2 linked regions of the Danio rerio genome follow. The protein of the gene in region 1 interacts with the protein of each later gene in a pairwise test. Links are inferred from orthologs where the notes say so. Each region holds a gene or a part of one and is shown in the gene's direction. Other genes may lie near its edges.

What was found.
Region 2: the proteins of kifbp (region 1) and dok2 interact in a two-hybrid assay, tested with the Homo sapiens proteins (2 studies listed by BioGRID and IntAct). The two-hybrid records come from large-scale screens. The link is inferred for Danio rerio from reciprocal best matches to the Homo sapiens genes KIFBP and DOK2.

What each region holds. Positions count from the first base shown.
Region 1 is NC_133188.1:26,245,481-26,249,865, reverse strand, and holds the start of kifbp (KIF-binding protein), read left to right. Parts: upstream 1-1,327; 5' UTR 1,328-1,340; coding exon of another isoform or gene 1,341-1,787; intron 1,788-1,890; coding exon of another isoform or gene 1,891-1,989; intron 1,990-2,068; 5' UTR 2,069-2,119; intron 2,120-4,385. UniProt on the Homo sapiens protein: Activator of KIF1B plus-end-directed microtubule motor activity. Required for organization of axonal microtubules, and axonal outgrowth and maintenance during peripheral and central nervous system development.
Region 2 is NC_133183.1:51,030,249-51,034,077, reverse strand, and holds part of dok2 (docking protein 2), read left to right. Parts: intron 1-862; coding exon 863-994; intron 995-2,201; coding exon 2,202-2,369; intron 2,370-3,829. UniProt on the Homo sapiens protein: DOK proteins are enzymatically inert adaptor or scaffolding proteins. They provide a docking platform for the assembly of multimolecular signaling complexes. DOK2 may modulate the cellular proliferation induced by IL-4, as well as IL-2 and IL-3.

The sequences.
Region 1 (4,385 bases):
TTAAATACTGTTTATTTCTTTTGCATTTTAACTTTGTAAACAACAAAATCATGCCATCTCATGTTTTGTGTCAGAATTGTTATTGAGCCAACTGACAGTTGTACACCCCCTCTTTTTTCCCTGCTCTGCCCACTCCTCCCTTCTGCTCACAGCACTCCACCATAGACTTTAGAAAGAAGGGGGTTCATGACACTTTTTAGCAGGTATTTATTTTAAGCACACGTTAAAAAGTATGTAGCTGTTATATGAATGTGGAGTATGCAGAATAGATTTGATAGTTATCATTATCATCTAACCTACAGGCATCAGTTGCATCACTTCACTGTTTGTAATGATTCATTTAAATATCAAAAAAATACTTTTAAGCAAAGATGTTCTAATCATACATTAAGCCATTTTCATTATTTCCAATTATTTACTTTTTTCTTATATGTAGTTACTTATGGGCTTAATTTTCTATTGAAAAAAAAACTCCTTCACACTGCAAAAAACATGACGGTTTCATTATTGTGTGTTGTACCAAGTACTGAGGTCTGTGTTTAATTTAGGTCACTTATGTTGTGAGTGCTGTGTATCTATGGCACAATAGCTGCTGTGTATCTATGGCACAATAGGCTACAGACAATAACAAAAAACTACTGTTGTTTACTTAAATGTTAAGGATACACTTTAAAGCATGGCTTACTTTGGTGGTGAATAAGTAAACTTTTAAACACACAGTTAAACATAATAAAACATTCAAGTGACAAAGATTAAGAAACAACGTTACTTCCACATAATTTGCATTTTACAGAACATGGTTAAGAGAATTTTATTTAGGCTATTTTCCCCCAGTATAGGGAAGTAATTTAGACATTGCTTTAATTAGATTACTGACAACTTGTTTTAGATGGTTCAGAATCTGTTATTTCTAAGTAACACGGGGACTTTACACTTGAGATATTTTGACCACACGGAGGAAAAACCGCAAATGTGGGTACTGGAACAAGCCCATGTATAAAGTACTTCACCTGCCACATCCGCCAACAACTCACACCCCACAGGAAGCCTGTTTGTTTACATCTCTGACTTTCATTGACCTGTAGATGGAGCCAGAGAATCTGGAAAGAACAGAGAGTCGGAAAGTAAATCCAGCCAATAATAACAGACACATAATAAGTACTAGTCACATCGAGACTTTATGATGAGATCATTTCATATGCTATTTTAAATGAATCAGTAACTAATATGATATTTTAAATAAACAAGTAACTAAAGTAAACTAAAACTACTAGCTGTGCGTTGCTTGTGTCTCGGGACTGACCTCTGCTGGTGAACACTATTTATTGCTAGAGGGAAACATGGCTGCCAACAACAGTATCGAGTGGAGGGCCGTGTGCGAGAAATTTCGCCTTGCCCAAGAGCTTTCCGAAATAGAGTCGAAAAAAGACCCAGAGAATAACCCTTTCCGATCGAAATACAAAGCCAGAGATCTGCTGAAGGAAATCCACTGTTCTTTGAAAAAGATTGAAATCGAGGAGCAGGGCGAGGCTGGGGATGAAGCGGACTGTGAGTCCAGCCAAACGGCGGATGGTGAGCCGGAGGATGGTTTTGAGAAAACGTTCACTGGAGACTCTGCAGCCGGCCTGAGAGCGGCCAGGCTCGCGGTGCTGCAATATCATCTCGGCGTGAACCACATAGAGACGGAGGAGCTGTCGGCTGGAGAGCTGCACCTCATGGTCTGCATGAAGCTCATTGACAAGTGCACCACAACACGGGAGAACGTCTCCTTATTTATACATGTCCGGGTAAATTCACACTACATGGATTATTATTTTCTAAAAAGCCTGGTATGACTCAATAAACGTGCTTCTCTTGCTGGTTGACGTATGACGATTGTGTTTTTGACAGAATCAGCTCGGCATTTTGTGGGCGGGAAGAGATGAGATTGAAAAAGCACAAGGATTTCTGGAGATTGCCGAAACGATGTATTTGGTCTACATGAAAGAGGTGTGTTATGCGTGTTTGTTTGATTGTGATGCGTGTGAGCTTCAGCTGTCAAAGTCTTCCTTACCATCAACAACTGCAGATGCAGAGCGTCAGATGCGAGTTCCACATGACGTTGCTATGACGTATTGAGGTAAAGTTAGTTTTACATTCACACAGTCGGACTTTCTCCTTAATAATATTTAACAAAAAAATATTGTTTACAAATTCTCAATAGTGAAAATCATATTAGCAACCACTGACACTGAAAACCTTACCTAAATCTTTAGCACAGCAAGAGCCTGGCACAGCCTTCACACTTGAATGAGTGAAATTTGGTAATCTGGGAGCTCCAGCTGTATTGATTAGATTTATCTATGTGTAAATCTAAATTAAACTATTTAATAACAACTTGAATCAGAAATTATGGCTTCATGATATTTAGCTGTACCCACAGTGGACCAGCAATTAAAATGGATCTACTGGAATGAGCTCTGGGCGCCATCTTCTGTCAAGATGCACAACCTTGTAAGTGTACACTATTGCAGTGCATTGTGGGACTGAATGAGTGCACTTGATAATCACTAGCTGCGTCCCAAATGGCACACTATGCACTTATGCACTATGTACTTATGCACTTACACTTCCAACAGCATAGTATATGTATGTAGTGTCGTCCCAAATGAAACACTACGCAGAAATTCAAACCGCTTCCCTGATGAAGTTTGACGGTTTCCAAATAAATGACCAAACAACCACATAATACCTGCCGTGAGTATAACCTCATTCACTATCGGGAGGTGGTATAATCTCTCTCAGAGGAGAATTTTGCTTTCATAATCCAAAATAAATATATCCAACATGTGCCTCCGATGGCTCCGCCCCTCCCGCTACCATAAGTAAGGCAGCGACTGTGAATTGCGTGAAGTGTCCATCATTACACACCTACTTTTATCTGTTGAATAAGTGCATCATCCGAGTAATTAGAGCGCACTTATTATTTTTAGAGTTTTCAGTGTGAACGCACTACTTACACTATTTCTACTACAAAATGGCGTAGAATAGTGCAAAAGTATGTGATTTGGGACGCACCTACTGTCTGTTTACTCAGATGGGGTATGTGCACACAAACTTTTAATTTCAGTCAGCCCCAGGGCTTCTGGTGAATTTTCATCCCATACAAAATTGCAGTGTTAAAGATCTGATATCTTTAAAAAACAACGATCTTCAATGCCTAGCTGAGATAAGATATAAAATGGGTATCCGACCAAAAAAGAAGCACTGCATTTAATTATATTTTTACCACACCGTGTCTTTAAAATATGGAAATTAATTTTACCCCAGTATTTTCAATGGAGCATCTGTGCTGGCCTGCTGCTAATGAAGGCACCTGCGTTTAAACAGTCTCTTTTTATGCATTAACAACCAAATGAATGCTTAAGTCTAATAAACTGATTATATTTGAATTAATTATGAAATTGAAAATAGTCACATAAACCTGTCATCAGAAGTTCATCATTAGCTGAAAAACACTAGCTGTGCATACAGCCCATTCAGCCCTAATGATGTGGGGCAGTGTTGCCAGGTAAAGCTGATTTTTCCAGCTCAAAAGCTGTCGGAAATGCACATAAAACTCCCAAAATATTATATTAATATTTTATTTTATTTTAGTTAATTTAAATCGAAATTAACCTGGTTACTTTAACTGTCATAATTTTTAACCATACAGCAACCAACACCTGCAGTCACAGAACCAAAACATAACTGGATCACATCGAAACACTGCCTCCTTCTCACCCACACACTGCACTGCACTTAATGTTAGAGTATGTTTTTACGAAATGGGGTATAAATTTGTCCTATTTGGTGTTTTAAATCCTTTTGAACATATTTAGGGGCTGCTTGTCAATCAGACAATGCTTCTGTGTTTGTTCTTGCTGTCAATTGTGGAAAAAAAGATCGATATAAGTGTTATGATAAAGTGCTGTGAGTTTAACTGCAGGCGCTGCGTAATGCGTGTGCACACGAAGGCGAGTCAGATTTGTCCTTGGACTTTCTTTCCCCTCCTCTTACGGGTGGGCCCACTCGGCTTGCACTATGCACCAGTCACTACTAACTGAACGGAGTAGGAGCACACAGTTATGTTTTGTTGAATATTAAAGTTGCATATAAAAGTTATATTTTTTTAAACCTCCCAAATTTTGTCAAAAATTTTTTTTCTTTTACCTGCACAATCAAATACAAACTGCCTAATTGGGCAGGAAATTACCCAATCTGGCAACACTGGTGAGGGATGATTTGGGACCTTGCTTAACGTCTGTTGAATTTTCGTTGATATTGTGAGAGTCAGTTACTATTAGCGGAGAATATAGAAATCATAAGTGACATACACTATATCTTCTCTTTCACAAAATTACTAG
Region 2 (3,829 bases), on another chromosome or scaffold:
TTATATCTTAGTGACGTTTACTTCCCTCACAATTCATTTCTCTCAAAGTTTCTTTTTTTCTGTATGTGTCTATGTTTTTAAAATGTTAAGTTTAGTATTCTATTTCTTTTTTTTTTTACTTTTAATTTAAATAATTTTACATGACTATTTTGTGGACTAATTTTACTATGTTTTAATTTAGGTTACAACATATATTTTATTTTACAGTCCTTAATTTTAACACATGTAGCATTAGAAATTTTGTCACAACATTAATTTATTATTTAAATATTTAAATATTTACCAAACATTGTTTAACAGAGCAAGGAAATTTTCACAGTATGTCTGATAAATATATATTTTTTCTTCCGGAGAAAGTCTTTTTTGTTTTATTTTGGCTAGAACAAAAGCAGTTTTTAATTTTAAGGTCAAAATTATTACCCCTTTTAAGCTATATATTTTTTCGATAGTCTACAGAACAAACCATCGTTATACAATAACTTGCCCAATTACCCTAACCTGCCTAGTTAAACTAATTAACCTAGTTAAGACTTTAAATGTCACTTTAAGCTGTATAGAAGTGTCTTGAAAAATATCTAGTAAAATATTATTTACTGTCACCATGGCAACAATAAAATAAATCAGTCATAAGAAATGAGTTACTGAAACTATTATGCTTACTAATCTGTTTAAAATAAACATTCTCTCTTTTAAACAGAAATTGTGGAAAAAAAAAAACAGGGGGCTAATAACTCAGGGGGGCTTATTCTGACTTCAACTATATTTATGTAGCTTGGATAAGTTTAACAAAAGCTGTCTGATAGTAAACATTCTGAAATATAAAAAATATGTAAGTTGACTCTCAACCTTCTCTCTGTTTCAGAAATGGCGAAAGGTCTGGTCTGTGTTGTATCGAGAAAGCTCCTGCTCTATCTCTCGCCTTGAGTTTTTCGAGATTAAAGATGGAACCCCTAACACGCTGGAGAAAGCAAACCGCAAACATGAAAACAAAAAGGTAAAGGACAGCCTGTGGAGCTCAAATTTTCCAGAATAAAACACATAAGATGTGGCGTATTTGAGGAGAGTGATGTAATTCAAAATCTACCACGGTTTATGAATAATCAAACCAGTTATGGGTCATGCGTTACGTGTGGGAGAACAAAATTTTGTGGGAAGTACCATTAAACATGTGCCTATTTCTGCTATGATCCCTTCTACCAAAAAAAAAAAAAGGACTTTCACAATTGTAGTATTTTCAAAAATGAAAGCATGTGGATGATAATTAGTTCTTGATAATTATGAGTCATGTTTCAAATTTGCAAAAACAAATATTATTAAATGAAATGTACTATTATAGAAAGACAAAATGGCCAAAAAATATGTTATTAAATAAAATATAATATTATGGAAAGCCAAAATGACCTAAATGCAATATACCATGATGGCAAAATGGCCAAAATAAATAAGACTATATAGGAAAGCCAAAATGGTCAAAATAAAATATACTATTAAATGAAATATACTATTAAGAAAGCCAAAATGGCCAAAATAAAATATAATATTATGGAAGGCAAAAATGGCCCAAATTCAATATACTATTATTGATAGTAGTAGTAATAGCCAAATAATGTATTATAAAATGAAATGTAATATTATGGAAAGCCAAAATGGCGAAAAATATATAATATCATGGAAAGCCAAAATGGCCAAAAAAATATATTATTATGGAATGCCAAAACGACCAAAATAAAATATACTAATTTGGAAAGCAAAAATGGCCAAAATTTAATATAATATTATGGAAGGCCAAAATGGTCCAAATTCAATATAGTATTATGAAAATACAAAATGGACAAAAAATACAATATTATGGAAAGCCAAAATGAGCAAAAAGAAATATAATACCAGGAAAATGGGTGTCACAATGGCACAGTGGGTAGCACGATTGCCTTACAGCAAGAAGGTCTCTGGTTCAATCCCCGGCTAGGTCAGTTGGCATTTCTGTGTGGAGTTTGCATGTTCTCCCTGTTTTCGCATTGCTTTCCTCCGAAGCCGAAAAGAAAATGAATGAATGAATTAATATGGAAAGCCAAAATTCAATATACTATTTTAATATACTATTATAAAAAGGCTAAATGGTCAGTATGGAATATTCTAAAAGATAACAAGCTGTGTTGAACTTAAGTTTTATTTATTTATTTTATTTTATTTTTTTTTTACAGGTGATAAAAATGAGCGACTGTATTCGTGTTTCGGAGGCTGACGTGGAAGGCTGTCCACGGGATTGTGGGCCTTTTTTGGTGGAGACAACTGAAAAAACATTTGTGTTTGCTGTTGAGACAGCTGAACTGGATGACTGGATTCAAAAACTGTGTGAAATCGCCTTTCCGGTATATATTTATAATATAATATAATATATTATTCCGGTATATATATTAACCATGGAACATTGCACTGGAAAAATGCTTTTCTTACTTTTTCTTATTTCTAGTCAACATTTTTAAAAATGCTTAATTCAAGAAGTGTTTTCTAGACAAGCAAAAAATATTTATTTTATTTCTTTGGGTCTCGCTATTCACACTTTCAGATTCGTGAGTTTATATCTTACAATTTTTGTTCGTCTGACAAGTCTTACTTTGTTTCCTTTTTTTTCTGGCCCTGGAAAAAAATAATAAATAAATAATATTTATTATTATTATAATGTATTCAAGTGCAAACCAGATCACTCGACATTGTACACAGTATAAAACAGTTATAAAATAGTCAAAGTTTTTAGTTTTTGTCTTATTTTCATGGGATTGTAACCAGAGTTGTGCTTTAACTCCTGAAATCTTTCAGACATTTTGTGTTTACTTCTGCTGTCTGCCAAGAGAGATTGTCTTTGCTGAAAGCTTGTCAGCTCCTTGTGCTTAAATTTCTGCAGACATGAAATTTTAGACTGCAGCAGCTCGCCACTGTTTTTTGTCATCTAAGCAGATGTAAAAACCCGTCAAAGCTGATCAGAAACTTGCTCATATGATTCATCGGGGTTCTCATGCTAGCAGTTTAATGCTTGTGCAAAGAAAAGCTTCTGTTCACCGTGACCTTGCTCACTTGTGGCTTTAAAAAAGGGAAGTTGTTTGTATAGTTTATCACATTGTATGGTATTTTTGCATTGTGGGTGATATAGGAAGTTAATAGGTAGTTACCATGACTTCATGGATGCAAAAGGACAATTTTTTGCTCTTGCTCTGGCTGTGAGTCAGACTAAATGCTTTGTGGTCTTATATGAGCTTTTTTGGTGCAAAGTGTCAAATGTTAAGAGAGTTCCTCTTCCTATTAATTCTTATTTTATCACTTCAGCAGTTCCTACCAGGTCTGAGTTCACATCTTTTTTGATTGAGTTTTATCACCTGTAACACTTTTTATGGGTGTCTGAAGTACATGTGGGTGATGCTTGGGTGGTTACTAAAGTTACTAAAGTTTACTCTAAAGTGGCTGGAGTGAAGTTTTGGTTCCAACAGTGCATAAAACAAACTATTAATGGCTTTCAAACTCAGTTTTTAACATTTGAACTAAAGTGGATTTTGAACTGAAGTTTTTTTATTGAAAAGACAATGGGATTAAGTAAACAATTGAAACCATGTAAATCATTTAATACAGATAAATAAACGTTTTATTTAATAATTTAATTATATCATCTATTTCACAGGTGTCAAACTCGGTTCCAAAAGGGCCGCAGCTCTGCACAGTTTAGTTCCAACCCTAATTAAACACACCTGATCAAACTAATTGAGTCCTTCAGGCTTGTTTGAAACCTACAAGTAAGTGTGTTGGAGCAGGGTTGGAACAACTGTGCAGGGCTTCGGCC